4 linked regions of the Stegostoma tigrinum genome follow. The protein of the gene in region 2 purifies or fractionates together with the protein of the main gene of each other region. This does not show direct contact. Links are inferred from orthologs where the notes say so. Each region holds a gene or a part of one and is shown on either strand. Other genes may lie near its edges. The genes, in order: eukaryotic translation initiation factor 3 subunit J, eif4g1a, MAP kinase-interacting serine/threonine-protein kinase 1-like and eif4ba.

Evidence for each region.
Region 1: the proteins of eif4g1a (region 2) and eukaryotic translation initiation factor 3 subunit J purify together in Homo sapiens (affinity purification with western blotting; 3 studies listed by BioGRID and IntAct, with this or other methods). This does not show direct contact. The link is inferred for Stegostoma tigrinum from reciprocal best matches to the Homo sapiens genes EIF4G1 and EIF3J.
Region 3: the proteins of eif4g1a (region 2) and MAP kinase-interacting serine/threonine-protein kinase 1-like purify together in Homo sapiens (affinity purification with western blotting; 3 studies listed by BioGRID and IntAct, with this or other methods). This does not show direct contact. The link is inferred for Stegostoma tigrinum from reciprocal best matches to the Homo sapiens genes EIF4G1 and MKNK1.
Region 4: the proteins of eif4g1a (region 2) and eif4ba fractionate together in Homo sapiens (co-fractionation; 4 studies listed by BioGRID, with this or other methods). This does not show direct contact. The link is inferred for Stegostoma tigrinum from reciprocal best matches to the Homo sapiens genes EIF4G1 and EIF4B.

The regions. Positions count from the first base shown.
Region 1 is NC_081386.1:33,455,673-33,463,396, forward strand, and holds the start of eukaryotic translation initiation factor 3 subunit J, read right to left. Parts: upstream 3,016-7,724; 5' UTR 2,972-3,015; coding exon 2,950-2,971; intron 2,819-2,949; coding exon 2,733-2,818; intron 1-2,732. UniProt on the Homo sapiens protein: Component of the eukaryotic translation initiation factor 3 (eIF-3) complex, which is required for several steps in the initiation of protein synthesis.
Region 2 is NC_081367.1:44,939,517-44,947,398, forward strand, and holds the start of eif4g1a (eukaryotic translation initiation factor 4 gamma 1a), read right to left. Parts: upstream 3,014-7,882; 5' UTR 2,931-3,013; intron 2,793-2,930; 5' UTR 2,729-2,792; intron 1-2,728.
Region 3 is NC_081361.1:75,885,530-75,893,384, forward strand, and holds the start of MAP kinase-interacting serine/threonine-protein kinase 1-like, read right to left. Parts: upstream 3,004-7,855; 5' UTR 2,929-3,003; intron 2,410-2,928; exon of another isoform or gene 2,120-2,409; intron 1-2,119. UniProt on the Homo sapiens protein: May play a role in the response to environmental stress and cytokines. Appears to regulate translation by phosphorylating EIF4E, thus increasing the affinity of this protein for the 7-methylguanosine-containing mRNA cap.
Region 4 is NC_081404.1:13,476,470-13,484,438, reverse strand, and holds the start of eif4ba (eukaryotic translation initiation factor 4Ba), read left to right. Parts: upstream 1-4,954; 5' UTR 4,955-5,118; coding exon 5,119-5,131; intron 5,132-7,969. UniProt on the Homo sapiens protein: Required for the binding of mRNA to ribosomes. Functions in close association with EIF4-F and EIF4-A. Binds near the 5'-terminal cap of mRNA in presence of EIF-4F and ATP.

The sequences.
Region 1 (7,724 bases), on a different chromosome or scaffold from region 2:
TAAACATGCCATTATACTAGATTTATTGTGGGCAGTCTCTCTCCTGCATTGAGTAAATCTGGAATTTCAGTGATCATTTCATATTTCTCTCTTACAGACACTATATAGTATTCACGCTCAACAGCACCACACTATTAGAAAAACTTCAACGATAAACTTACTAAATTTAGCCTAATCCTTGCTCGTTTTAGAACATTCTATACACTCAGGAAAGTTTCCCGCAACTATAAATTCCCTTGCTTTCTGACATGGGTTAGACTCTACCCAAGTTTGGGTTCCCATTTATGCACTCCAGCATATCTAAAGCTAAGAAAAGCTAAAAACTTATCTAATTTCTGCATTTGTACAACACACTGTTCCATTATCATAGGGATAATACACAATTCCTCCTAGTCTTTAAAGCCTTCCCTTATTTCTTAATTCAAAAGAAAAGTCTCCACTGATTACTTACGTTATTGGAATATTTATGAATTTTTTGAAGTAATTTCATCCTTAATAAGTAAGGCTACTCCTCACAAACATTAGCTGTTCCTCTTTTGCTGACCTGTTAGATTTAGTTCCCAGCTCTAACCATCTCAGTTATAGCCTAAATCTCATACGTGCAAGGTTGAATTTATTCTAATTTGGATTTGTGTAAAGCAAGCTTATTTATGCCATATTTATCCTTATCTTTCCTTCATCTCCAATATTTTATTGATTTCATGTTTCTTTTCTGGATTAAGTACACTACAGCTTTTAAATGTAACGTTTTAACATCACATTACCATACTGTTCACTTCTTTCAAAACTTCTTAGTAACATTACTAGTTGAGAACACTTACTTGTTTAATGTAAGGTGTGTGATTTATGTATGCATTAGTAGTATTTATTTTAGAGCCTGGATTTTTAGCTACTGGCATGTGGTTTTGGACAGTGTATGTGAAGGGGTTTAATAATTAACATGTCATTCTTACTAGTTTTAAAAAGTCATGGCTCCAGTATGAGAGGGGGAACCCCTGGGTGATAACGGAAATTTGTTTGCATTGGGAGTTTTATACGCACAGTAAACACTGAGGACCATTAGCTTCCTTCCAATTTAGAAATCTTCGGACTACATTGATTGCTATGGGGGTAAAAAGTGTGGAAATCTTTTGTCTTTGATGCAACACGGTTACCAGGTAATAAAAATAAAGTGCTAGAGAAACTCAGCTGGTCTGACAGCATTTTTGGAGAGAAAAATGGAAGCAAAGGACTGTACTGGATTCAAAAAGGCAACTGTTTCTCTCTACTGATGCTGACACACTCAACAAGTTTTCCAAGCACTTTCTGTTTCAACTTCAGATAGCCAGCATCCACAGGATGTTCCTTTCATTTGACAGTTACCACATGCACCAGAAGATCAATATGCTTTCACATCACTGGGACTGGATTTGCCACCATGCAGTGCATAACATGAATTGTTATACAATACACTGTACCCCCCCCCGCCCAATAAACAGGTAAAACACATGAATACACTGGAAAGCAGCTGAAAAAATCCTGATGTCAAGCATGTGTAGCTCAGTGCCTGAATAGCTAACCACTATGTAAATGGAGTTTGACACCCTTGACGCTAGAATTAAGCAGTGCCAGCCTTTGTAATGGTGGGAGTAATGTGTTTTCTGTATAACCTTTTGGAATTAATGTGGGAAGTAAAACGATACAATGGCAATGTTTTCGAACATATAAATAAAACATGCACTTGGGTTGAAGTTAGTTTTTTAAAAAATTACATTACTTTGCTCTTTCTCTGCTATAATTCCAGAGGATAGAGAAATCTGAGACTCCTAAACTAGACAAAACTACGTTTCCACTCAAATTTGACCCCTATAAAACAACACAGTGACTAATTATTGTCTGTAAGCACAATGGAAGAGCTTCTCTGTTGCTACGTTGTTAACTTAATTATCAAAAGGTAGAGAGTAGGTTTACATCAATACCAGTGGAAGAACAGAAAAGCCAAGCAGATGGGACCACAACCATTCAACACACACATGGTTTACCATGACAAAAAGGTTACATCTCTGAAGTCCAGCAAACAAACACGAGAAGATTGATACCCTCGAAAGGACCAATAAATGACTGGAAATTACACTCCATCACTCCATCAAAAAGGGCAAAAACTGACACTAAGCCACCTTTAAACAACTGCCCAAAAATTTGTTCAAATTACTGATTTTAAGAAGCACATTAAAACAGGAGAAAGAATAGAAAGGCTGTGAAGTTTAATTTGGATTTAGGCAACTGAAAGCACAGCTGGCAGCAGTGGGCAAAACCTCGGAGGATGGACCAAATAATGGAATTAGAGGAACAAACAGCATTCAGAGTTAAACGTTACATACATCGGGAAGAAGTGAATCTATCCCAGGTTTTGAACCGGAGGATTGGAATTTATTTTGCAGGTGTTGAAGAGTGCCAACTTCAGGCTCCACGAACATAGGGTGAATAACCAAGGAAACAGAATATGTAACAGGTGGTATTAAGCATGGCTCTACCACTCACCCCATCAGCATGAACCATGTGGGAGCAACGGTGACGCCCCGACTCCCATCAGAAATTAAACATGAACCTACATTTGTGTAGCACCTTTAGCATAATAAGAGACAGACTCGGCCACGACAAACGGTCGGCGGCGGGATAGGTTGCCTGGGCCCAGGACTGCTGCTGACCAGGGTCCCAAGCTGGCTCAGGCCCAGGTCTAGTGTTTTCTTTACCTTCACATCCTCCTCCTCGTCCTCGCCTTCCCATCTGTCCACGATCACGGGCTTGCTCACCGGCCCCTGCGTCTGGAAATCGTCGTCTGCGAAGAAAATTGAAGTTGGTTATTAGTCTGGAGAGTGAAATAGGCAAAATAGAGGAATGAAGGAGAAAGAAAAGTCAGAAGGAACCTCTCAGCGCCATTAAACCCGACACACAAAAAGCCGCGCTCACCCCAGCTGTCCGAGTCCGCCATGTCTGCCTGCCCGCCCGCTCGCTCGCTCCGTCACACTGAGGAACTGTGGGATACTGGAGGACTAGACATTGTGGGATACTGAAGTTCGACCTGGGAGGACTAGGAGTCTGCCCACCCAGTACTTGCGCTACCCTAGACTTTCGGCGACAGCAGTTTCCAGAGGAAGGCACTCTTATATATCATACTGAAGGGAGAGTGAAGCAGCCAAGGATGACAAGGGAAGGCACAAAACTGTACAACGTGGTAAAGATTAGTGGAACACCTTTAAAAACTAGCCAGCAGTAATTAAAATACATTGGGGTGGGGTAGGATATGAATTTTATCTCAGTTATCTAAAAGGTAAGAGAGGCAAAGAGTGGACATTAGACTGCTGGAAGTGAGGTTGGAGAAGTGGTAATGAGGAACAAAGAAATGGCAGAGGAACCGAAGAGAAAATTTACATCAGTTTTCACTGTGGCAAACACCAGCAAGAGAGCATAACTTCAAGAGTCAATGGACATCATTAAGAAGCTGGGGATGCTCAAAGGTCTGAAGGCAGATAAATCATGTGGGCCAGATGGACTACACCCCAGAATTCTGAAGGTGATTGTGAGAGGAGGCATTGGTGGTGATCTTCCAGAAATCACTGCAGCCAGCGAGGGTCCCAGAAGACTTGAAAATGGTTAATGAAACAACCCCTGTTTAGGAATAGAGGCAGAAGACAGGAAGTTATAGACCAGAGATAATGGGAACTGCAGATGCTAGAGAATCTGAGATAACAAAGTGTGGAGTTGGATGAACATAGCAGGCCTAGCAGCACAAAAGCTGACATTTTGGGCCTAGACCCTTCATCAGAAAAGGGGGATGGGGAGAGGGTTCTGAAATAAATAGGGAGAGAGGGGAGGCAGACCGAAGACGGATAGAGGAGAAGATAGGTGGAGAGGAGAGTATAGGTGGGGAGGTGATAGGTCAGTCCGGGGAGAACGGACAGGTCAAGGGGTCCGGGATGAGGTTAGTAGGTAGGAAATAGAGGTATGGCTTGAGGTGGGAGGAGGTGATACGTGAGAGGAAGAACAGGTCAGGCAGACAGGGATGAGCTGGGCTGGTTTTGGGATGCAATGGGGGGAGGGGAGATTTTGAAGCTGGTGAAATCCACATTGATACCATTGGGCCGCAGGGTTCCCAAGCGGAATATGAGTTGCTGTCCTCCAACCTTCGGGTGGCATCATTGTGGCACTGCAGGAGGCCCAGGATGGACATGTCATCTAAAGAATGGGAGGGGGAGTTGAAATGGTTTGCGACTGGGAGGTGCAGTTGTTTATTGCGAACCGAGCATAGGTGTTCTGTAAAACAGTCCCCAAGCCTCCGCTTGGTTTCCCCACTGTAGAAGAAGCCACGGCGGATGCACTATACCACATTGGCAGATGTGCAAGTGAACAAGGTGTGGGGGCAAGTGTAGCATTTTCTGCGGTTGCAGGGGAAGGTGCCGGGTGTGGTGGGGTTGGACGGGAGTGTGGAGCTGAGAAGGGAGTTGCGGAGAGAGTGGTCTCTCCGGAAGGCAGACAAGGGTGGGGTCGGATTGTAGTTGGCAGATGATGCGTTTTGTCCAGAGGTTGGTGGGGTGGTATGAGAGGACTGGGGGATTCTCTTTTGGCGGTTATTGCAGGGGCGGGGTGTGAAGGATGAGGTGCGGCAAACGCGGGAGACACGGTCGAGGGCGCTGTCGACCACTGCAGGGGGGAAGTTGCAGTCCTTGAAGAATGAGGACATCTGGGATGTACGGGAGTAGAATGCCTCATCCTGGGAGCAGATGCGGCAGAGGCAAAGGAATTGGGAATAGGGGATGGAATTTTTGCAGGAATGTGGGTGGGAGGTGTATTCCAGGTAGCTGTGGGAGTTGGTGGGCTTGAAATGGACATCGGTTTGTAGGTGGTAGCCTGAGATGGAGACAGTAAGGTCCAGGAAGGTGAGGGATGTGTTGGAGATGGTCCAGGTGAACTTGAGGTTGAGGTGAAAGGTGTTGGTTAAGTGGATGAACTGTTTGAGCTCCTCTTGGGAGCATGAGGCGGTGCCGATACCCTACCTCCCCACCTATACTCTTCTCTCCACCTATTTTCTCCTCTATCCATCTTCGGTCCACCTCCCCCTCGCTCCCTATTTATTTCAGAATCCTCTTCCCATCCCCCTTTTCTGATGAAGGGTCTTGCCCCGCAACGTCAGCTTTTGTGCTCCTAAGATGCTGCTTGGCCTGCTGTGTTCATCCAGCTTCACAAGTTATAGACCAGGTAGCCTGGTCTCGGTTGCTGGTAATATTTTAGAGTCCATTATTAAAAATAAGATTGCACAGGATTTGGAAGTGCGTGGTTAAATAGACAAAGGAGAGCCAGTGGATGTGATGTAATTGGATTTCCAGAAGGCTGCTAAATAAGAGTCCATGGTATTAACAGCAAGATACTTGCATAGTTGGAGGACTGGCTGACTACCAGAAGGCAGAGATGAAAGGGTTTTCTTTTCGGGCCAGCAGCCTGAGGCTAGTAGTGCAAGTCCACAGGAATTGGTGTTGGGACCACACTATTCATGTTATACATTAACAATCTGGACAAAGGAACTGAGGGCATTGTTGCTAAGTTTTGAAATGGTACAAAGATAGGTGTAGGGGAAAGCAATGTTGAAGTAGGAAGGCTGCAGAAGGCCTTGGACAGAGTTGGAGAGTGGGCAGAGAAGTGGAAGAGGGAATACAGTGTGTGAAATTGTGAGCTTGTGCACTTTGGTAGGAAGAATAGAAATGGAGACTATCTTCTTAATGGAGAGATGCTTCAGAAATGTGAAGCACAAAGGGACTTTGGAGTCGTAGTTCAGCATTCCCTATGGTTAACGTGCAGGTTGAGTTGACAGTTAGGAAGGCAAATGCAATGTTACCATTCATTTCGAGAGGATGAGAATACAAGAGTAGAGATGTACTAGAGATTTTCTGAAGAAGGGTCTTGACCCAAAACGTCAGCTTTCCTGCTGTGTTCATCCAGCTCTACACCATGTTATCTCTAGTAAAGATGTACTGCTGATGCTGTATGAGGCTCTGGTCAGACTGCATTTGGAATATTATGAACAGTTTTGGGCTCAATATCTAAGGAAGAATGTATTAGCATTGGAGGGCGATCAGAGAAAGTTCATAAGGATGAACCCGGGATGACGGCCTTGTCCTATGAAGAGTGGTTGAGGACTCTGGGTCTGTACTCAGGTTTAGAAGGATGAGGGGGTAATTTGATTGAACCTTACAGAATATTGAAAGCCTAGATAGAGTGGACGTGTGTGTGGAGAAGATGTTTCCAATAGTAGGACAGACTAGAACCCGTGGACACAGCCTCAGAGTGAAGCGACGACCCTTCAGAACTGAGGAGAGAAGGAATTGCTTCAGCTCGGGGGTGGTGAATCTGGAACTCATTGCCACTGACACCTATGACGGCCAAGTCATTGAGTATATCTAAGGCAGAGAGGGACAGATTCTTGATCAGTACCGGGATCAAGGGTTACGAGAGGCAGGAAAAAAAGGTTTGAGAAACATATCAGCATGATCAAATGGTGAAGCAGACTTGATGGGCCATGTGGCCTAATTCTGCGCCAATATCTGATGGTCTTTATCTTTTTAAACTTTAAAGTAATTTATGCTTTTCCATTTCTTCCAGAAGCATTTTGTAAATTAAACTGAGCATTATCTAAAATCATGTTTATACGGAGAACTTTCACAAGTAAACAACCTTCCTTTGTACAGTGCCTTTAACAAATTGAAATGTTACACAGGAATAATAATCAAATAACAAATTACACAAAAAGGACATCAAACCAACATCTTTTAGTAATAACACCAGAAAGTGATGGAGAAACTTAGCAGGTCCAGCAGCATCTATAGAGAGAGAAAGCAGGTCAGTGGGACTCATCAGAATGTTCAGAACCAGGGTCAATAGACTTGAAAGGTTAATTCTACTTTCTCTCCACAGATGCTGCCAGACCTGTTGGATTTTTCCAGCACTTTCAATTTTTATTTCAGATTTCCAGCATCCACAGGATTTTGTTTTTATTTAAGTTGACTTTAAGGAAGATCTTAAAGGAGTAGAGAAACAGAGGGGAGGTTAGGGAGAGAATTCCACAGCAGTCAACAATGGAGCGATTAAATTAGGAACATTAAAGACTGAAACCTATGTCGAAAGACACAGCACGTTGTACACTTGAGGTATAATATATCTTCAGCCCGTATATATCTACTGACAAAACTTAAGTTCCTGAAGACAATCCTACCATGGTGGAGTTTGAATTAAAATAAAAGCCAGGCTAATGTCACTATTGCTGATTGTTGTAAAAGTCACTGGGTTCACTAACATCCTTTAGGGAAATATCCTTCCTCGGTCTGGCCTGCACATGATGCCAGATTCCCCCAGCAGTATGGTTGACTCTTAACTGCTCTCTGGACAATTGAGAATGTGCAATAAATGCTGGCCTAGCCAATACTGCCCACAATCCATGAAAGAATATGGAAAAAAACCATTACTTATAGCTGTGCGTCACAGGAACATGAACGAACAGGCAGGCAGAGAAATTCTGCGTAGTAGTACCATATCACACCAAGCAATGGACAAAACTGCCTTCCAACCAGATGGACTTGAGTTCATAAAAAGTCATATTGAACTATTATACTTTCGGAGCATACCCCATAATCAGAGACAAAAAACTCAGGAGACAGGCAGTATTCAGGCAAGTGGAAGATGTTTATTCAAGCAGA
Region 2 (7,882 bases):
TAAGCTACAGGTGATTATGTAGACTTCAATTAAAACGCTGTAAAGCTAACCAACTAATCAAGTTGTTTAAGAGCAAATTACTGCAGATGATGGAATCTGAACAAAAACAAAAAAATGCTGGCGATCTCGGCAGGTCAGGCAGCATCCATGGACAGAAGGCAAGCTAACATTTCAAGTCTAGCTGACTCTTCATCAGAGCTGATGAAGAGTCATCGAAACTCAAAATGTTAGCCTGCTTTCTCTCCATGGATGCAGCCTGACCTGCTGTAAGTCAAGTTGTTTACCAGGTAGCTCATTTCAAACTTGTTTCACTTTTTGGAAAAAAGATAGATATATTACTAGACGAACAGAACTGCTAACAGCTGTAATGTTTAAACTCACTTTTATTTCTACTGTTCAAATATGTAGCGCATTATTTTGAGTTATCTAAATTTGCCTACTTGAAACCTGGCATGAAGTTCTTTGGTATGATGCAGGAGACCTATATATTTGGATTATTTCAGTGGTGAATATTTGACACTAATTCCAAACAAAATTAGACAACAGATCAATTCAGGCAAGTTCTTTACCAAAATAGAAGGCCATAATAAATGCAAGTGTCAAGTGCATTTTAATTTAGACTCAATTCCAATGGCTATTGCCACTTCCAAAAATCTCAGACTGCACACAACTGATAAAAAACAGAAGACACCTGAGGCAACACTGTGATATCAGTATTAAGAAGTCTCATTTCTTCTACCAGACACACAACGTTCTCTCATGTATACACTACGAGACGATTATTAAACCTTACAGCCTGTTACTGCAGTGCAGAGAGAAAACGCACAAACTGTAATGAACACCAAAACCACACCCACTGCCAGGGAGCAGCAGAGTCCATGTGAAAATGTCATATGAAATGTGACTATTGTGATCTTTGTATATGCATTGATATTTGCCACACATTCTCAAATCATTTAATTTTTCATGTATGCAAACTGCTTTACATCTCCATATTTTGCATAACATCCACATCAAATCAAATGTCACAGCATTCATTTCAAACTTACAGTCAATCCAAAACCCATATCGTATTGATGATATGCCCCCTTATAACTTGATAACTAAGTGTTTTTGTACTTGAATTAACACAGACTTTTTCAGTGGCAGGGTCAAATCAGATGAGAAATTATTAGTATTTACAGTGGTGAAGGGCAGATTTCAAATATCTAAAGTACTTGCCCTCACCATTTAGTGAGAAACTTGGGTATTAATTCACAACACAATTTCATAAATACAACTAAACGCTCAATGATTTTTACACGTTTCGCTAGCAGCAATCGGGCATTTCAGTCAATAAACTTTCTTACTATGTGTTTCAAAAGTAAGTTTAATCTCGAATGATAATTGAACGTTGCAATGCATTATCTCTATCTACCCACACTTGCCCCACCCCCAAAAAGCAATCCTTTTCCTCGAAAACATAAGGATCGGGTCTTCAAACTGAAAGCAGACATCGGGGGCTATAAACAGGAATTGACTCAGCACTTTCTAAAACTTGCTATTCGTATCCTTCATGTTAGTAGCTTTAAAATTAAATAAATCTGTTCCAACACTTTCCCATTACGCCATCCTTCAAAGTTGCTACTACTTATTAAACGTAATTCCCAAAGATGGTTAAAACTTCAATGCACTTCCGTTTTTGAAAAAATCCGAGCCCTCACTTTTTTTTTAAATGGTCACATGGCGATCTTTCCTCAGTGTTGAGTGAATATCTATATATAGTTAAAGATTAAGGAAGAGTTTGCAACAGCGGAGTGCGATGATGTTTGTGCAGTAAGAGCCGGCAGCACTCAACCGTGTGGGGAGGTGACAGTGACTCACTCGCTTGCGCTATGCCTCGGAGACCAACCAACAGCCGCACATGGTTCCTCTTTTACCGGCTTTTTCCCTCCTCCCCCTCCAGCACAAACGTGTCATTTCAGACTCAGGCTACAAACGCGCTAACACCCTACACACGCGCGGCAGAAATATTAATGCAAATACTAATATATACAATATACAGCTAGAGTCAAAGCCCGGCCGGTGTCTTCCCCAACTCCCCCACCCCCCACCCACGACACTCTGAGCCTGGGGCGGGGGTTACATTCCACCCCAGGGCAGCGACGTAGCTTCCATATGGTCAAGGGCCTTACTACCAAAAGCAAGCACAACCGAGAAACAGAAGTTAAAACCCAGACTTTGGTTTTAGCCAGTCCCTCACCTCTCCCACTAAAAACTTCAAAATGACATGAGACTCTTGTAGGCTGGGGCCTCCTCTCCCTTGGCTGCAGAGGGAGAGAGGGGTGGCTCAGGCTGGACGGCCTGCTCTCTCCCCGTCTTTTTCCAGAAGCCGGGGAAAACCAGTATGGGGGGGGAGGGAGAGGAGAGAGACTGGGGCCTGGCTGCCACTCAACCCGGGCTTTAGGGAGTGGTGGGGCTAAAAGGCTATGGCCTTCACCCCAACCCCAACCCCAACCCCAACCGAGTGGCGCCGGCCGCGGGCTTGAAAGCGACTCGATATTCCCAGGAATCGGGAGGTGGAGATGATGGGGAGGAATATGCTGAGGCCGCTGTTGCCTGCCCCCCCAGTTAGAGAGAGGGGTTTCTCTCCCTCTCTCTCTCTATATAGCCGTTCCTTCACCTTCCCTCCCCTTTCCTGCAGCCCCAGCCCTGGGTGTCAGCAGAAACACGTCAGGCCACCCCTTACCCGGGAAGGACTGGGCTCCTCCTCAAGGTGTAAGTGTTTTTTTTCTTTCCTCCCTTCTTCTGTCCTGTGAATCAGAAAAATAAAACAATCAGGCCGAAGCACAGAAGGCAGGACAGCCACCGGGCCAGTCAGCAGTGACTGCTTGCAGTCTCCATGCCGAGGATGGAGACGGATAATAAAAAGCGGCCCAGTAATGGCGTACCTTCGTCCTCAGTCCGCACAGCCGGACGATCGGCTACTTTCGGAGATTTCCGCCTCTAGGGTTCCGGAAAGGACACGTGACACCGCCAGGGAGAGGGCAGCCGCGATTCACTCCTAAATCACAAGCACTTAGGTTTAATATTGTTGCAATAACACATTCTCTTCCACAGTTCCAAAGCATGCACGCACCACCCGGCTGGTGTTTCCTTGCCTGCCCCCAAACCCCGCCCCTCCCCGAAATTTAACAGTTTTGTGGCGAGCAAATTATCCTATTTCTTCGAGAAATGTCCGGAACTGTACTTCATATTCAATGAATTACTTGGAGGTGTAGATACTGACGGCACACCACTCCCCACAAGAAAAAAAACAAACAGTAGTTGCGTTATGTAAAAGTTTACGTTTATGTAAAGCAACATGAAGAGCCAACTCGCATACAATCCAGTAGACAGGTCAGGGAAACTCAGTTGAGCACCCTAATGCCATGTAGAAATTTGCTCATTGTAGAATCTCTGAGCCCACAGACTCGAACAAAGTGATATCAAATAATCTGATATAGACAAGTATTAACATAAATTTCAGAAACATCTAAAGGGCATGATATGAAAATATAACTGCTAATGCAAAAAAAATCTGCTGGAGATCACAGCTGGTCAGACAGCGTTTTTCAATCTAGTTAACAATTCACCAGAGCTAATACAAATTCTGTTTAAAAAAAATAATTTAAACAATCTCTATAGCTTGTGGGCTGACAGAGTGGGAAGTCAAATTATTACAGAGTCAGAGGAGATATCTTACACAATTTGTTTCCCTTTTTCTCCATGGGTAGGAAATAGTCCCAACCTGTCCTGATCCAAATGAAAGACTAAGTTGAGAACATGTTATGAGAATTTCCAAGTTCACATACACTTGTGTAAAACAGTACATGAAGGTAAGGGTGCATGACAGGCCCCACCCCACACAGAGTGCCTTACAATTATCTTGCAAAATGCATCAATAATATTTCCCAACACTGTTCCATATGCAACTCAGCAACCTTTGTAGCAAAGCATGCATGATACAATATAACAAAGTATGAAGCTGGATGAACACAGCAGGCCAAGCAGCATCTCAGGAGCACAAAAGCTGACGTTTCGGGCCTATACCCATCACCAGCATCTGCAGTTCCCATTATCTCTTATCCATGATACAATATAGCCACTATGAGCCATTCAATGGTATCAAACAAGCAAAGAGCAAGTTATAAAGACATTATAACATGGTTATATTCAGTCTCTTAGTGAAGGGATCATAATCAATGTATTATATCAGGGCATTATACTGAGTAGCTACTGTCTTTATTCACAGTGTGCAGAAGTCAATTTCTGCATAGAGCAAGTTCAGCATGGCAAGAAAGACTTATTTGTATCAGGAATTGTTCGCAGAATTCACCCTTGCACTGTAATTGATTAAACCCAAAAATGATATATCAGGTTGTACTGCTCCTAAATGACACTGGAGAAATCTTCAGAGTACATCAGAATAATGTGTTAAAAGCTACAACACATATATAGATTAGTTAGTAACTAGGTATTCTCACTCTTTTCCATCACAGTCTGTACATTGGAACTGAAAAGGTCTTTCTGATAAGAGGAATTGCTTGTTCTTAACAAGAATTTAGTCTCATTAAACAAATGGGGAGTATTTACATATTTACATTATTTACAAGTTTCCTTATCCAAAGTGAAAATATTTTTAATTATGTCACAATGTACCAATCTGATGTCAGCAGCTTTCTCATGACATCATAAAGTCACTCAACTGCCTTCATAGTTTAAATTTTAAAAAGTTAATAATTATAAACAATTGTTATTTATGTAATATGCTCAGGTATGTTTTAAGTAAGAAGGAATGAACATTATTAAATACATTTTGGTGCAGCCTGTATCAACATATCCCAATTCCTACATTCTGAGTACTGTAATTTTCTGCAAAGAAATATAAAAGGATCATATGATACATCCATCTGTGTCATGATGAATATCTTCACGAGTGAGGTGTATGGAATAATATTTATGAGTGGGTTGTGATCAGACTTGTGAACAAGTGTATTTATCATACCATACTGCAGCCCCTAGGGTATGTTCTACTTTATAAAATTGCAAGACTTTTTCAACTAAAAAGATGAATTTGGATAATTTTGTAGGACAGAAAAAGCAATTCCGGCAGCTTTGTGATGTAACTTGTCATTCTGATGTCATTACAATAAAATAAGATTCACTTAAATGTCAATTGAGCCTCAGTTGGTGGTACTTCCACGTGAAGGCTCTGAGTTCAGGTCTTACTCCAAAACCTACAGCACAAAACTTAGATCTGTTCTCTAGTGAAGCAGTGAGGCATTTTTAATTGTTGGACGTGCCACCTTCAAGTTGAGGTGTTAAACTTAAGCCTCAACTCAACTCTCTGGTGGATGGTACAGATTTCGTGCTATTATTTGAAGAAAGATCATGTGAGATTTCCCCATTCTCAGCCAACGTTCTTTCCTCAACTAACATCATTTCTAAAAGCAGTTTAACTGGTCATTATAATTTTGATATTTGAATCTTGTTGTATCTTAAATGCTGTATTTGCTACATTACAACATTGGTGACACTTAAAATTTCATTGGCTATAAAACACTTGAGATTTCATACAAGGTGTGAGTCTCTGTTAAGTAGAAGCTTTATCAGCATGTCGTGAAATGAAATAACTACCTCCACAGAGGACTGATTTACCAAGTGTTATGATGCTCCTGTGAAATGCTTGGGACATTTAGGATCTAAAAGACCATAAAGTCATGCAGTCATACACCATGGAAAGAGACTCTTCAGTCCAAACATTCCATGCCAACCCAAATCCCAAATAAACTATACCTACCTGCCCGTGCTTGGCCCATATCCTTCCAAATATTTGTTGTTCACTTACTTATCCAATTGTATTTTAAACACTAACTGTACCCGCATTCATTAGTTCCTGTGGAAGTTCATTCCACACATGAACCACTCTCTGTGTGAAAAAGTGGCCCCTCATGTCTTTTTTAAAATTGTTTTCCTCTCACCTTAAAAATATGTTCCCCAGTATTGAAATATACAACCCTTGGGAAAAGACACCTGCCTTCACCTTATCTATATACCCTTCTTGATTTTATAAACCTCTGTAAGGTGAATTGAATTGAGTCAGCCTTTATTGTCATGTGCACTCAGATGAATGAAGTGAAAAGTTTGTAATGTCAACTCTTTTGGTGCCATTTTAGGTACAGAGTACCTAGGGACAGAATTCTTAAGTACGCGTTAAAGACATGAAAGAATCATATATAAAAGTGCAGCACAAGAATAAGAATGTTTTCGTTTATAAAGTACTCAAATTGTAGTCTTTCCACCAAGCACCCAACCTTCAGCCTGCCCAGGCGAAGTCTCCAGATCACGCTGAGCTTCAAACCTCGAGATCTTGCTTCCATTTCCCAAAGGCCTCACCTCCACTCCAGGACTCACCGTTCCAGTGCTAGACTCAGTATACCTCGCTTCCTACACTCGAATGAAAGATGTCCCAGCCTCTCCTCATAACTCTTACCCTCCATTCTTGGTAACATCCTGGTAGATATTTTCTGAACCATCTCCAGCTTAATAATATCTTCCCGATAATAGGGCAACAGTACTGGACACAGTACTCCAAAAGAGGCTCCACCAATGTTCTGTACAACCTCAATGTGACATCCCAACCCCTATACTCAAACTTCTGAGTAATAAAGGCAAGCATGCTAAACATCTTCTTAACCAGCCTGTCCACATGTGACACAAACTTCAGAGAACCAAGGTGCCTGAAGCCCTGGTTCTCATTGTTCTACAACACAATCCAAGCCCCGACTTTTAATTGTATAAGTCCTGCCCTTATTTGTTTTTCCAAAGTGCAATACCTCAAATTTTTCCAAATTAAACTCAATTTGCTACTCCTCAGCCCAAATTGATTTTGTTGTTTTTGGGTTCACTGTCAAAAGTGGGTTCAGATCTATTTCATAATTATGCAGACAAATTGTCATTTAAAAAGCCAGTCATGGCACATTTTAGTTTTGATATTTTGGCTATGCTTCTACAGAAATGATTTTAATAACATAAAATTGTATTAACTGTGTAGAATGCATTTTTAACCCAAAACAATTCAGTCTTTCACTTTTCTACTGTAATATGGTGACAGAGGGAAAAAGAAGTTTATTTTGATTGATATTTCTGTCAGCAAGCATTTTTTCAACATTCCTCTTTCAACATATTCAGAATCCTCAGGGACTAAGCAAATATAATAAACAAGTATCTCAAACTTACAGGAAAAGAAAGACTAAAATGCAATGGCCACTCTCTGCTGAATTATATCATTTCAACAGGTCACAATGATAGAGGGCTTTACACACTGACGGCAGGGGCTGTTGTGGTGCAGTGGTAGTATCCTGCCCCTGAACCAAGAGGCTTTGTTTCAAGTGCCCACTTGCTACAGTGGTACATAAGAACATCTCTGAACAGGTTGTGTAAAAGTATTCACAATTAGCTGCAGCTGGCACCCCAACATAGGGTACCTTTTCCCTTTCCAATGACCAACCCTAAAGTACATATGGTGATACACCAATATTATGCTAAATTTTGATGCTATTCACAATGAAATAGCTTCCTGATAGTTACTCGCAATGTCAGGGGTTTTGAAATGTTTTGATGTCAAGGGAACTTTACAAGTACCAGCATGCTACGAAGTACTGTTTGTCCTGATTTCCAAACTATCAGTACGTATCCCAAAATACTCAGAGAGCAAATTGAATTGTAAGCTAACCAAGTGTGGAGCTGGATGAACACAGCAGGCCAAGCAGCATCTCAGGAGCACAAAGGCTGATGTTTCTGGCCTAGACCCTTCATCAGAGGCCAAGTTAACATACAGAAAATCATGGCATAAAAAATT
Region 3 (7,855 bases), on a different chromosome or scaffold from region 2:
GGCGTGGACTTGTTGGGGCAAATGGCCTGTTTTCATATTGTAGGGATTCTATGATAAATAAAACTCAGGTAATCCTTCCTCTTGTGTTCAATTCCTCTCATAATTAAGGAGATCAGTCTTTTTCATTATGTGCTTTATCTGTATACTAACTTTTTTTTTACTTGTACTAGAATACTTAAGCCCTGTGCACCTCAGGTTCTGTGGTTCTCTATTTAAGTGATGCTCTGCTTCTTTTATTCCTCCTTCACATTTTCCTGCATCATGCTCCATCTGCTGGATTTTTTGCCCATTCAGTCTGCATCCATCTGCAAACTCCTTACTACTGATGGAATCCCAACAGTGTGGAAGCAAGCCATTTGGCTCATCAAGTCCACATTGATCTTCCAAAGAACATCCCATTCAGACCACCTGATTTCCAATGGCAAATCCGTGGACACTACAGGCAATTTAGCAAAGCCAACCCACTCAATGTTCACATCTTTGGCCTGTGGAAGGAAACTGAATCATACAGAGGAAAACTACATGGACAGCATGTGCAACCTCCACACAGACAGTTGCCCAGATCCCTAGGGCTGCAAGGGAGCGGTGCCAACCACTGAGCCACCGTCACTGCCATCCCTGCTGCCTAAATACCTCTCCACCTACCTTTGCATAGTCAGCAAATTTAGTTGCCATGCCATCATGCCAACCCGTCCCCCACAATTCTCTGCCACTGATGTAAATTGTAAAAATTTCAAGGCCCAGCACAGTCATCTCGCTAATGCAACTGCAGCAAGGTGAGCGGCAGTGCAGAAGCCAGAGACAGTGGTTCAGATCAAAACAACAACTCTTATCCTCGAAAATCCACCAGAAGTATCCCTGTGAAAAATATGCTTTACCTCACATGGGGAGCCACAAAACATCACTTAAGAAATAACAAAGTCTAGAGCTGGATGAACACAGCAGGCCAAGCAGCTCCGAAGATGCGGCTTGGCCTGCTGTGTTCATCCTGCTCTATACTTTGTTATCTCGGATTCTCCAGCATCTGCAATTACTATTATCGCTTAAGAAATGTTGGTAACAGCCAAGTTTGCAAATCCTAATTCTGAAAGAAAACGGAACTTGCACACTGGATTTCTAAGTAAAAATCCCCAAGGCATGCTGACAGTTCCGGAGGCCATCTGTTGAGTGTGTGATGGTATTGAGGGGGAAAACGAACCCATTAGAAATTGTTCTTAAGCAAATCATCATCATTCCCGTGTACACTTAAATGTATTTTTTCACATCTTTAACTGGTATCCTATGATTCGATTAATGATGAAAAATAACGACAAATTCGGTTTAATTAGACACGTTTGGACACATCAGGCAAGATACACTTCTTTAGCATGAATACACAATTCGTATAAAGTTAGTTTAGCGTGCTAGTCTCAAGCCGTATGCACCTACGGAATTTAAATTCAGCGTTAATCAGAGGTCAGTGCTAAGCCTGATTCTGCAATGATATGGCGTTATAGTCCGCGGTGCACAGCATAAATTCGTTGTTGTCAAAAGCGCTCAACACACTGGACAAATTTTAAACCAGTTTGTTTAAACATTTGAACAATAACTTTCAATTTCTCCCTCTCCCCTCAACCACATAACTGTGTACCCGTGCAGACACCGTGTTTTATTTCTCAAATGGAGAGCATGAAGAGTTGCAAGTAAAGCTTACGTTTATTTGCCCGGCCGAAACTAGAACTACACCTAACAATCATGTTGCAGTATAAACACATGTTGAATATTCCTGAATTTTGCACCCCGACTACGTCGGAGATTGTTTATGATATTTTATCGCCCTTGGAATCTGCCACTTTTTCATCTACACAACTTTTCGCTAGGGTAAATGTTGATTGTGCCATAATAATGTTTAATATTTAGTAAATCCAATACAAAGGTGCCAGATCTTAAACCGTTCCTGTTTTGCAAACATGCCAGTTAGCAGTGTTAATGTCCTCGAAACATTATTTACAAACAACTTTGACAATTTACCCAGCGAGTACGACAGTAAATTTCACACGAATTGGAGTTCATCAGCACATCCAGCAATGAGCCGAAATGGGTTTCAAATAAACGCAATTTAAACCACGATAATACATACCTGGAAAATGAGATTGCAGTCGCTTTGTTACAAACAGCCTCCGCAAATAAAATTACAAAAGCTACATTCAGAGTTTGTGTGTTGAGGTGACAACTTTGATGAGGAAACACCAGTCCCACCGCAGTCACTGAATGGTGAAACTGTCCCGGTAAGTTGCATCATGCAAGATGAGTTACAATGAACTAAAACTGGAGGACTTCCTCGCCCAGATCGATCCGAAATTTTAACTGATTCCTCTCCTGCAACGTTCCCTCCGGATAGTATCACTTTTTAAGGTCGGTGCATTTGTTCTTTTACAAATAAAAACAGAACAATTGGGAGCAGTAATATAGCAGCTCAGCCCGTGGTGAGAAGATGGGACTTTATTTCCATTGTGATTGGGGAGGGGCGGGATGTATTTGCAAATCAGATGGGAGCACGATGGTGGTAAATGCTCACCATTGATCTGGTCTATAGCTATCTGATCGTAAACTGAAAACTCCTCCCTCAAGGGAAACCTGGTCTCTCTGCTATTTTTAACTGGACGGAGTCATAAGTTTGAGTCTCCATACAGGCGGGGGACGGGGGAAGAACAAAACTCAACTACAAATAAATCACACAGCTCGACATAATTTAGCACAGAGAGTATAAGAACTTCTGACAATGTCATCCCAAGCCGTGTCCATTCTGTGTCACTCAGAGACAAAGTGGCCGAGAAACCGGCGGCTAGGGCCTGTCCCCCGGTCTCCCCATCTCACTCACACTCACACACAATAAAAACCTACGTCCTCCCATCTAACGGTAAGAGTCAAACTCCACTCAGTCTTTACCTTGCAACTCCGGCCGTAAGGTCCTTCCGCCATTTTCCTTCCTCCTGGCCGCTACTGGCTTGTCGAAATTCCCGGAGCTGAGGGTGTTGTCGAGGCACCTCCCGGCCACCGTCCCACCGCCCTCTTGGGAAGGGAATTGACTGCTCGTGGGTGCCATCTTATTAAAGGTAAAGGATTCCGTGCGTGGAACATTAGCTCCGTCTTACCACAGAAGCTGCCAGACTTGCTGAGTTTCACCAGCAATTTCTGTTTCTGTAACAGAGCATCTGTAGTGATTGATTAAAGGATTATGGACCTACTGCCCCATATACTCTGTTCAATGTGCTCATCACTCCTTTGCTACTCAGCTGTGTCTTCACCTTCATTATACTTACTCAGGTTAGTTGATCTGATAATGTCTGAAAACAGGAAATATTTCCCACACCAGATGTGAAAATAAAGCGTATAGATCTCCTACGGAGCCATAACTGCCATTTAAGTAGTCACAGGTTAAGACAGGAATTGGAGATCCAATACATCCATTTCTAGGTATTACTTTTTAAAACATTTTTTTCATTTAGGATCATTAAAGATCATAATTTTTTCTCCAATATTGAATGTTCTGCATCACTTAACAGTGGCAAAACAAACCGTGATCAAGAATTAGCAATATTTAATCTTGTCAGTTTAAGAAATTATTTTCTGAGATTTATTATGTATTTTAAATGTTGAACAATAAAACATAGGATAGGTTACAAAATCCAGAACATTGTTTTCTCTATAGTTAACACTTAAATTTCCTGAAAGCAATGTTTTGAATTATGGTCATGAATTGTTTTTCTTCACAGATACAGCCAAGCCCGGTATTTCCAGCATTTTCAGCTTTCAATTGCTGAAACATTAATAGGCGGAGATGTTGGTTAATGAAAATTAGTATTTATCTGCTTAGCTCACAAAGTATCATAAAGCACTGTTACAAACATCTCCTTTAAATGCATGATATAAATCTTATCCTCCTGCCAGTCTGGGTCTAGAGGGTGTGCGCTATTGGGAGAGGCTGAATAGGTTGGGGCTTTTGTCCCTGGAGCATCAGAGACTGAATGGTGACCTTATAGAGGTTTATGGATAGAGTGAAGAGCCAACATGTTTTTCAAAGAACAAAGAATAATACAGCACAGGGACACACCCTTTGGCCCTCCAAACCTGTGCTGACACATTTTGCCCTCCATACTAAAATTGTCCTCACTTACAGGAGCCGTATCCTTCTATTCCCTTCCTATTCATGTATTTGCCTAGGTGCTTCTTGAATGCTGCTAATGTGTCTGCTTTCACCACCTCCCCTGGCAGCGCATTCCAGGAACTCAGTACCCTTCGTGTGGAAAAACTTGTCTCACACATCTCTTTTAAACATTGCCCCACCCCCACCCGCATCTTGAACCTGTGTCCTTAGTAATTGACCCCTGCACCCTGGGAAAAAGCCTCATACTTTCCACTCTATCCTTGGGTGGAGCATTCCAAAACCAGAGGGCATAGGTTTAATGTGAGAGGGGAGGGATTTAAAACGTACATCAGGGATAATTTTTTAATGTGGAGGGTGGTAAGTGTATGGAATGAGCTGTGAAAGGAAGTCATGGAGGTTGGTATAATTACAACATTTAAAAGACATCTAGATGGGTATGTGAATAGGAAGGATATAGAGGAATATGGGCCAAATGCGATTAGGTCAGGTTGAGATGTCTGGTTAGCGTGGACGAGTTGGACCGATGGTTTGTTTCCATGGTGTACGACTCTATGATTCTATTTAATCTTTTGCTAGAGATTATGGGAAGGTGCTGGCCTAATGGCATTAATGTTTTGACTGTTATTCTAGACACCCAACTAATGTTTTGGGGAGATAACAAAGTGTAGAGCTGGATGAACACATTAGGCCATGCAGCATCAAAGGAGCAGGAAGGCTGACGTTTTGGGCCGAGATCCAGGTTCAAATCTCACCGTGACAGATGGTGGAATTTAAATGCAATAAAAATTGGGAAGTAAGAGTCTAATGATGATCATGAATTTATTGCTGAATGTTGAGAAAAACCCATCTGGTTTACAAATGTCCCTTAGGGAAGGAAACTACCATCCTCACCCAATCTGGCCTACACGTGACTCCAGACCCACAGCAATGTGGTTGATTCTTAACTGCCTTTTGGGCAATTAGGGATGGAGAATAAATGCTGGCCTAGCAAGTGATGTCCTCATCTAATGAACAAATTTAAGAAAAGAGGAAGTTCTGTCCTTCGCCTAAATTTCATAGTTTTGAAAAACTATATGCTGAATCTTACTTAACAAGATGTAGAGCTGGATGAACACAGCAGGCCAAGCAGCATCATTGGAGCAGGAGCTCTACGCCTTGTTATCTCAGATTCTTCAGCATCTACAGTTCCTACTATCTTGGCTAAATCTTGCAGTTTTTTTGACTAAGTGTGAGTTGTGTCGAAGTTTTTGGAGGGACTCTCGCTGGAGGCCTATGTATATTTCACAACTCACCTCATTAACTACTTAACAACTACTTCGCCCTACTGCAACCCTCTTGTCTAATTCTGTCCACATTTTAACACAGCTCACCGCTTATTAGATGCTCACTGATGAACTAGCAGCTTTATACCCACACTATCATTTAAAAGCCCATTGTGCACCTTGGACAAGCACTGTCAGTCATCAGCTGTAGATCACATCCCTGACGTTTTCCCTGTACCTGCCAAACAAGGAAATTGGCACCACTGCTTTGCAGATAGGAACTGAAAGTGTGGCTGAAAAGGGCAGTGCAGTCAGGGAATGGCCTCTTGCCCAGGAACAGCGCTGGGAGCCACAAAACCAGACCACACTAGTCCGGTCACCTGGGTTATTGGAGTTTCAACCATCTGAAGGAATGTCCAATAGTGTAGGAAGAAAGTTAGTGACCTTCTCCATTCCACCAGTGTATGTGCCACCATCACTCTGATATCTCACACTAACTCTGCTATTGTACTCAGGTCCTACAGAAGCCCACACACTATCGCATTTTCCCCACTTGCGCTCACTCACCTCAACACCTCTAACCCTGCCTACTCACTCACCCAGGAAACTTCCATCTGCATCAGTTATATCATACACTTTTCATTCCTGTAAAACCTGCCTCTTTCTCATTACAGGTGGAAAACGGTGCACCGTAGGGCAGAAATGAAAGTTGGGTGGTTGTTTGCCCCTATATGAAGAAGAACCTTACTCTGATCACCCTGAGCATCTGATTTACTGTGCAGGGCCCCTCTGACTGCAGTCTACCTATGTCAGCTTGAGTGAGGACTGCTGACTACCATGACAAACTTCCTGGCTTTGTAAACAGCAAGGCCCCAAGACAGAAGTAATCTCAGGCTGGTAGGTCTGGCTGAGGGGAAATGTTCAAAAAAGGCAAAGCATTGCAAGGCGGGGATATTGCATGCATTCAGGTAGGCTCAGAGTAAGTAAGCACTTAACAGTAAGCAAAGAACCTGGAGATGCAGCCAGATCTGGTCCATGAGCTTGATGTGTATTCCTGAGCACCAAGTGTCTTCACTGCAGCTTTACAATAATAGTTGTTGCTGCAACCCAAAGTGCATTATTGAATTGAACAAGCGTACTATATTGTGGGGTGCAGATACACCATTAGTATTCTTAGGAGCTGGTACATATTTGATGCGTGTGTGTGTGGATGCGCGTAGACGGTATGCCATGACCACCAGCAGCAAGAACACTGCAAAGTCCCTGCATTAGCAAGCACTTGTTTTCACCACCCCCCACCCCGCCACATGACTTCATGAGACAGGTGCCAAAGAATTCAGTTGCATGATTAATGAAGATCAGAAGATTGCATGAGAGAAATAAAAAAATCGCCATGCTTCACAGTGCACTGGGCGCCATGAATCTTGCTCGAAAAAGCACTGTCCAAAAAAAATTGAAAATTCAGTCCACATTTTTAAGCATTTCTGTTCAAATTGGTAGAAAACCAATAACTTAGTAATTTTAATTCATAATAGCTCTATTTAAAACAAAGAGAATAATAAAGCCCAAAAGCAAAAAAATATTAAAAGTGCAATGCACAAGTAGGAAAAACATAATAAGAATGTCTACAATAGCTTAAGTATTGTTATGACCAGTGAATTTTTTATTTAGTCATTTCACAAACCAAGTTCCTTATAATGTCCTACAAATTCTATCCATTTCCAGCTCAGTATATGTTCTTGTAAAAAAATAATTCACAATCACTCCTGTTCACTCATTTTCAGAAGATGATCCTTGCAGTTTCAATTTCCTGATTCCAGTACCATGGCTATCAAAAGCAACACTTCTGGAAAACTCTCAGACGTCATCTTGTTTATATAAATGTAGAAAATTATTTCAGAAATTTCCATCAATTAAAAAACCTATGCAAAACAATATTCTGTACACAAGAACATTAAAATATAAATCATATGAAACCTCATCAGTTTAATGTTCAGGAATTTAATGGAAAAATGACTGTTTCGAAATGCATTAATTCAACATGCTTGATTTTAAAATGGATCATGTCAGTTCTTCAAATCAAAGAAAATAACCTACATAAAATCGATGAATTTTTAAACGTTTAGTTTGAAAGTAATATTGAGGCTAAAGTAATGGGATTAAAACAAATTTTTGGAGAAATTTAGCATGTCTGGCAACGTCTGTATAGACAGAAACAGCTTAAACGTTTTGAGTGTAATATGATTCTTAATACTTTGTTCTGATTAAGTAATTTTAGACTTGAAATGTGAATACTATTTCTCTCTTCATAGATGCTGCAGTCCTGCTGAGTTTCTCCAGCATTTTAGTTGTATTTTAGCTTCCCAGCATCTGCATTATTTTGCTTTTACTAAGTTAATAGGATGATCATAATGCCTCAGTAATTTCATATAGCAAATATCAGCAC
Region 4 (7,969 bases), on a different chromosome or scaffold from region 2:
ATTTAACCCATTGTATGTTTGTACACTAATCACAACAAGTCATTTCAAGGCTAAAGCGTTTGAGAGACATCAGCGACAAATACGGGATTTGAAGAAGGGGACTTCACCAAAGGTTTACTTGGAAGAACACACACCCCTCCCCGTCTATAGTTAGACTATAGAATAGACATTGTTATGGGGATGAACATATCAGCCGTTTCGTGCACAGCATGGTTCTATAAATAGTTAAATGACCAGTTCATCTGCTTTCCTTGATCGTTGACTCGAATACCTGGAAAACTGCTTAACTCTTCTTAAAAATGCGCTAGAAGACCACCTGAAGTATTTGGAGTAGTCAAGCAGTATCTTGGTTTAAGATAACAAAGTGTGGAGCTGGATGAACACAGCAGGCCAAGCAGCATCGCAGGAGCACAAAGGCTGACGTTTTGGGCCTAGACCCTTCGTCAGAGAGCCCTCTCTGATGAAGGGTCTAGGCCCGAAACGGCAGCCTTTGAGCTCCTGAGATGCTGCTTGGCCTGCTGTGTTCATCCAGCTCCACATTTCATTATCTTGGATTCTCCAGCATCTGCAGTTCCCATTATCACTGATACAGTATCTTGGTTTAATTTGTTTTTCCTCCACTATGGGACCTCTGACAATGAGGCAGATACTACACTATTAAGAGATCTGCAAAAATGTAAAATAGAGGTACAGCTGCCTGCTAGCAAAATGCTGGACACCTGGTGTACTCCTGTTTCTATTTTTCTTATCTGTCTGGGACAGAGCCAATTTAAAACATCTTTTACTAAAAAGTTGTTTATGGATACTAAATGATGAAAACCCTCTTTAGATGTTCAAGATGCTCAGCTGGGAGAGTTAAGTCAATGAGTGAAAGTCTACTCTGACCACAGCTTTGCAGTTTTACATGTTACAAAGGCACCTCTTGCGGGTGCTAAATTAAAGAGAAAATTCCGCTCTGCAATCTCTTCAATTTGAGCTGATACAAGGGCGATGTCAAGACCATTAATTTGGGGCCTTCAGTAATTGCTTTTATTTCAAGTTACGCGATGAACACTTTCCACTTCCTAACAGCTGACATTCACCTCGATTAAGGAGTCAACTGCAGCAGAATTTAATGGCACTGTTACATATGCTGGCTCACTTTTCATATTCCATAATTTTTCAGTGAATTGTAGCCTCTTAGTACAAGAAGAATGGGTGTAACCAGTATAGTTGCATAGAATGTTTGTTCCCTTTGATCTCTCCAAGAGGAGCCATAACAACAGTATTACTGGCATTAATCTACTGTATTAAGACTTATTATCCTGCTTGTTATTATGAATGTTATTGTCAATGTTTCTATGAGTGGGGTGATTCATTCACTTTGCTTTGTTAGGTCATGCAATTTGATGGACTCTAAGAGTGTGCTTAACACACTGAATAGTAGCAAACTGTGAACAAAAACAAAGTTGCTGGAAAAGCTCAGCAGAACTGAGGAAGGGTCACCGGACCCAAAACGTTAACTGTTTTCTCCTTCACAGATGTTGTCAGACCTGCTGAACTTTTCCAGCAACTTTGTTTTTGTTCCTGATTTACAGCATCCACAGTTATTTTGGTTTTTTTTTTAAATGTAGCAAACTGTGTATCTGAACCACAAATTGAATATTAGGGAGGCAAAATCAATCGGAAAATTAGAAAAATCAGAATAAATTCAGCTAAATCTGACGAGTATCAATTAGAAACACATTTCTGTCAGTTCTTACCTAGCTTGCAGATGAGCCATAATTTTGTCCAACTGAATATTGAGAACAACAGCCTTCGGCTGCTTTCTCTGGAAGCTTTTAGAAGGCTTTGATAGAATAGTCAGAGAAAATATTTCATTTATTAAGGAGTCCAAAATAAAGGCCATAAACAGTCAACATTAAATCCAATAGGGAATTCGGGAGGAACTACTTTACCCAGAGAGTAGTTAGAGTGTGGAACTCCCTATCACAAGGACTTGTTGAGGTAAATAGCACTGACATATTTAAGGAGAAATACACAAGAAAGAGAGCATCAGAAGGATATGTTGATTACATGAGGCTTTTGTGGAACATATTTAGCAATAGTGACCAGTAGAGATAAATTGCCTGTTTCAATGCTGTAACTTCTGTGTAATGTCAAATCCTTGGCTTTCATTTTGATCCACAGCTGAGTGTAAACCCTATATCTTATGCATTATCAAGATCATTTATTTCCAAACCCACAACATTGCTAATCTATGTACCTTACTCCACCTTCAACTACAGGGACCTACACTTATGCCTCCATCAATAGACTTGACTATTTCACATCTTTTGTATTGCCACTTGACTACAATAAATTCCAAATCACCCAAACTCCACAGTCCGCAACTGAATGTGCTTGCTGGTCTACACTGGCTCACCATCAATGAACAGATCAACTCATCCTCTTCTGCAAATCTTTCACGATCTCATTCCTCACCCAACCTCTGCAACCTTCTTGAGCTTTCCATCCCCTCTGGCAAAGTTTGATTTTCTGACTCAGGCTTCCTAAGATTTTCTCCCTCCTTCCACTTCACCATGAGTGGCAGAACCTTCAGTTGTCTTGGCTCATTGTATGGAACGCTCTTCTCAAACCCATCTTCCTTTCCTTCATTCATCTCCATTTTTAAAAGCCTCCCTCAAAACTATAGTCTGAGCCAAGGTTTTGATGTGTCTTTGTGAAATGCCTCGGTTCAACGATTTCAAAAATATTTTACTGGGATGCTGGCAATACCGGCAGGGCTGCATTCATTTCCTACATTCTGGCCGCTCCAAGAAGATGTGGCTAGCACTTCTACTTCAATCACTGCAGTTTTTGTGGTGATGGAACTTCTACAATTGTATTAGATAGGGAATTCTCAGATCTTGGCCAAGTGATAAAGGCAAAAATGATGTCAGCATTAATACAGCAGGTAGTACTGTCTTGTTTCTGAAGGTCATGAATTCAAGCCTTATTCCAAAATATAAGCACATAATCTCAGCCACCACTCCAGTGCAGTACTGGGGAAACACTGTGTTGTCAATGGTCCCATTATTCAAATGATACTTCTGCCCTCTCAAGTGAATGCAAAAGATCCCCTGGAATTATCCAGACTGCAGCTGTGGGAGTGGGGAGCGGGGAGCAGGGAGCTGGGAGCAGGGTGGGGGGGGGGGGGGTGCTCCTTGCGACACCAGCCAATAATTAGCTCTCAATCAACAAAACTAAAACAGATTATTGGATTTTTTCTCTCATTGATGGCACAGACCCTGCCTAGCAGTTTGGCTTTGATGTTTTTATGCTTTAAAATATGACTACACTTGAAAAATTACTTCATTGGCTGTAAAGAGGCTCTGAGATCATGAAAGGCATTATATAAATGCAAATCTTTCTCCCATTATTCTATAGTTAAATAAGGATGGTGTATGACTTGCAGGTAAACCTCGAGGTAATGGTGATGCCATAACACTGCTGTCCTTGTCCTTTGTGTTAGAAGTCACAGAGCGGGAGCTGCTGTGGAGGTCACCTTGGTGTATCGTTAAAGTTCATCTTATACATTGTGGATGTTGCAGCCAAGGCACACCAGTGACCAAGAAGTAGATATCAAGTCCAGCATAGAGGGTACCAATGAAGTGAGCCACTTTTCTATATTAAAGGTGCTTTATATGTGCAAGTTGTTATATAACTGAAAGGAAAATAATCATTTTCCGATCCCTACTCATAATATAACTTACTGATCTGGAGGAAAAGAGTGTAAACTTTGAAAATAAGTTTCTAAAAATGAATATTCAGGTTGGTAGCAGTTGGCAAGGCTATTATTTATTGTTCATTCCCAGCTGTCCTAATAAATTGTTGATGATGGCTTTCTTCTTCAAATGCTACCTTTTGTAGCAATTTATTGCAACTGAGCATCTTGACTGCCACTCGGAGGGCATTTAATACAGTGATGTGGAACTAGAATCACATGTAGGCCCAGACTAGATAAGGACGGAAGATGTGGTTGATCTCTATCAGTTGCAACTCTTTACGCTGGAAGAAAGCAATTTTTTTAAGGTGCTGGACAGAAGAAAATAACCCGATTAAAACTTGGAAATGATGACTATTGGTCCAATTTATTTTGTACACTTGAGAAAGGAACTGCACTATGAACAATGCATTATTTCCCAGTTTTGCAGTTTTTTTCCCCTCCCAATTTGGGAACACAGTGATACAGAATTCGTGCTCTCGACTTAACCATAGTGCAGTGTGAAGGGTAAATTAACGAAGAAAAAGGATTGTGCCTGGAATGTTAGTTTTCCATCCTCATCAGCAGGAAGAAAGCAGGAATAAAAACAGCAATATGTTTGCAAGTTTTATTGGTTTTTCCTTTTGGAATATAGCAAAGATCTATCGATCTCAGACTCAAAATTTTGCGGTTGTATCTACCATTCTTTTAGGGAGAAAGTTCCACACTTTTACCCAGCCTATGTGTGAAGTGTATGCTGATCTTCTCTCTTGAATGACCTGTGACTCTAATTTTAAACTTAGCGTTAAAAGCTTATTAATTATAACTCTTAGACTTTTAACACCATCCCCCACTCTCCAAAGGATAAAGGCCAAGGTTTCGGTCTTGCCAGTGCTTTTAATTAAAGGAAATTTTGACTTATCAGCGATGTTCGTTAGGTTTCACAATGAACAGTGGAGGAATCACAAGAGGTGGTTGCGCTAGATTACCTGTTGGGATTTGTGGCTGTGGGAAAATTGGTATTAAATCGTAGATCTAAAGATTGACAGATTATTTATCATGTGCAAACTGTCTAATAGAAAAGTAAACAAAAAGAAACTTTCTGTTGGTGCTAGAAAGCTATTTTTATTTTTGAAACCTGGAAATGCTGACTAGATTTTTGTTTGTTCACAAATAACCCACTGTGTTTCCATTCTTTTCAGGTTCTAAAGTGATCTTATATCAAAACGGTCATTTTGCAACATGTTTTCGAAAAACACTGAAAAAAAAGTTGACCGCCTGCGCTTTATTTAAACCAAACAATCGCGAACCACAAGATTTACCTTCCAACTGCCAAGAAGTTTAGGTGTCACGTGAGATCGACATCCGGGTTCTGTCAGTGGTCATTCTCCAACATGGCGTCTTCAGGTGAGTAGCTGCGGGTGTCGCGCGGGGCTGGGTAAAAGGGACGAAAATGCGTTCAACTTGTGGCTTTTTTCCCCGCCCCCTTCACTTATTTGCGTTGGAAAGCGGGGTGACCGGACGTCGCGTTGGGCGGTTGGGAGGCCCGTGGCGTGTCGGGGGCAAATAAACGCGGGGCGAACGGCTGCCGAATGGGTTGCGGTACGTTGTGGTGCGTGTGCGAGTGAGCGAGCGGTAACCCGGGGCTTCGGCCTTCGCTGCAAGTTGGCCGCCCCAGACACGGCGCGCATGCGCGCAACGGATGGGTCAGGCCATATGCAATCAACTTCAGCTTCTCAAAAAATGCTTCCACCCCCTTTGGACCGGTATCTTACCGTGCGGCCCTAACTGTCACGCTGCGTACGCGTGTGTTGGAACTTCTGCGAGTCCTAGCGGCATCATTTGTAATCGCCCATTTTGTGAAAATGCTATCTACACATTCTAAATTCTGTAGAGGCCGAAACTTGAATCGCACTGTTTGGTTTGCAAACCTGTGGGTTGCGGCTGATTTCCCGATGAGCTTTCCTGCCCAGATTCGGAGCCACCATCTTACGTTCCGAGTCTGTTCCCATGCCTCCATCACAGTCAAGACCAGTTTGGTCCCTGTTTGCCACGATGCTTCCGCAACTACTGATCTGCTCAGTTATGCCTTATCTTCAACTATGTTATCCTATTCCCTGTAAAACCCTGATGCACTCTTTGCCTTAGTCATCATTCTCCTGGCATGCTTTGCCACCCCCATTTTCACTCCTAATTTTAAGTGGGCAGAGAATTGAATGAGGTTTAAAGGGTTAAATTAAGGCAATGAGTTGGCTTGTAATGATTTGGAGTATAGTATAAGGTACTTAAAATGTTAAAGGGACTCAGTAACATAGGTGCAGAGAAACAATCCCTTCTGGTGATCGAGGGTGAAGGGACATGGTCATCTTAAAATTAGAGCCAGTCATCTGGGCAATCAAAGACTTTTTCACACCCACAACTGGAATTCTTCTCCCAGAGGAACTTTGAAAGATGGAATACATGCTGCTTTCAAAACTCAATTTATTTTTAAAATATTCATAGAGCTCCTACAGTGTAGAAGGAAGCCATTGGGCCCATTTTGTTTGCACTGACCCTCCAAAGATCATCCCACCCAGACCTAGCCTTCCACCATATCCTGTAACCCCGCATTTACCATGGCTAATTCAACTAACTTACACACTCCTGAACACTATGGGTATGACCAGTCTATCTAACCTACTCAGTTTTAGATTGTGGGAGGAAACCAGAGCCCTGGGGAGGGGGGTAACCCACACAGACGCCGGAAGAACTTGCAAATTTCTCATAGTTGCCTGAAGCTGGAAGTTGGGGTGTTGGGCACAGAGTATGAGGTATGGATCTTTACCGTTTTAAGTAGATGATGGTAGCAGGCTTAAAGATTCAATGCTTTTCTGTTCCTATCCATATGTTGCACAGCTAGTTGATGTTGAGCCATTTATTACTAGCTCTAGCTGTACCATATTGAGTATTATTGGCCTCTGTTCTCTTCTTCCAAAGCTCTCTGTATTCCATGGTCATCCTTGGTTTCTCTTCATTACCAATTGTCACCTTCATCCTTGTTCTTTATCTCTGTGCACTCACTCTCACTGTTCTCCCCACCTCCTCCAAAAAACAATAGTTTCACTAACTGGAGTTGCGAGGACGACTTGATTGCATATTCACAATCTTTGCAGCTAACTGTCTCTCTGGCATTACCCCCTTTTCTCTTGACTGCCCATATGAGGTGTTTTCTCCTGCCCTTGTCATGAGCTTGCATGTTTCTTTATTTTCTATCCTAATCTCATAGCCCTTCGAGATCCAGCTCTTGCTCACTGGACCCTATTGCTCCTAAACTACTTAGAGCCCAGCTTTTCTTGTAAAGAGTTTTCTCTGTTTGAGCACCATCCCTCTTCCTGCCAAATCTTCCGTTATCACATTTTATGCCAGATCGTTGAAATAGCTTTAAGCAAAGGCATCCTGTGACTTTGTTTACTGTTCTTCATCTTTCACAACATCTCTGCTGTGTTTAATAGGCTTGGAAAAAAGTTCTACATGAGAGTAGAGATAATGGGTATGTATTAAACCTGATTGGTATTGGGCCTAAAATGATAGGTCCAGGTTGTACAGAAGATTAAAATGAGGTGTTTATAATTAATGACTTGATCAGGCAGATAGAAACTATTGTCTTTCGTAGGAGAGTCCAAGACAAGGGCTAGGTTCTTAAGGAGTGGAGTCTGCAAGCATTTTTCACAAAAGGTAGTGAAAATCTGAAGCTGTCCTTCAAGAAGCTAAATTGAAAATCCTAAAACTACAGTTGATTATTTTTGTTAGGTCAGGGTGTAAAGAGTTATAGAACTAAGGAGGGTAGATGGGGTTAAGATTCAAACTAACGGTGATCTATCTGGCAGGATGAATTTGTGGAATTGAATGCAGTACTCTTGATACCATTGTTCCTCTGACCTATTCAATCGTAGCCAGAGAATCTTCTGTATTATCTCTGTTTCCTGCTCCCACGCTATTATCTTTGGACTCTCCTAAGAATATGTCCATGGCCGCCACCTATTTCAAAGCTATAAATTGCCTCTCAGCAACATCATTGAAGACGTTATGTCAGGCTTCTCCCTTGTGTGGACGCTACCTTGTTCCACTTCATAACTATCTGTCTCAACCTCTCCATTGCCTTAGATTGCTTGTTCTGTTTGAATTAGTTTCCTCCACTTTAGACCAAAGGCATTACCTTCGGCCTCTGCCGGAATATTCATTCCTGCACTGTTGATTTTCATCGCA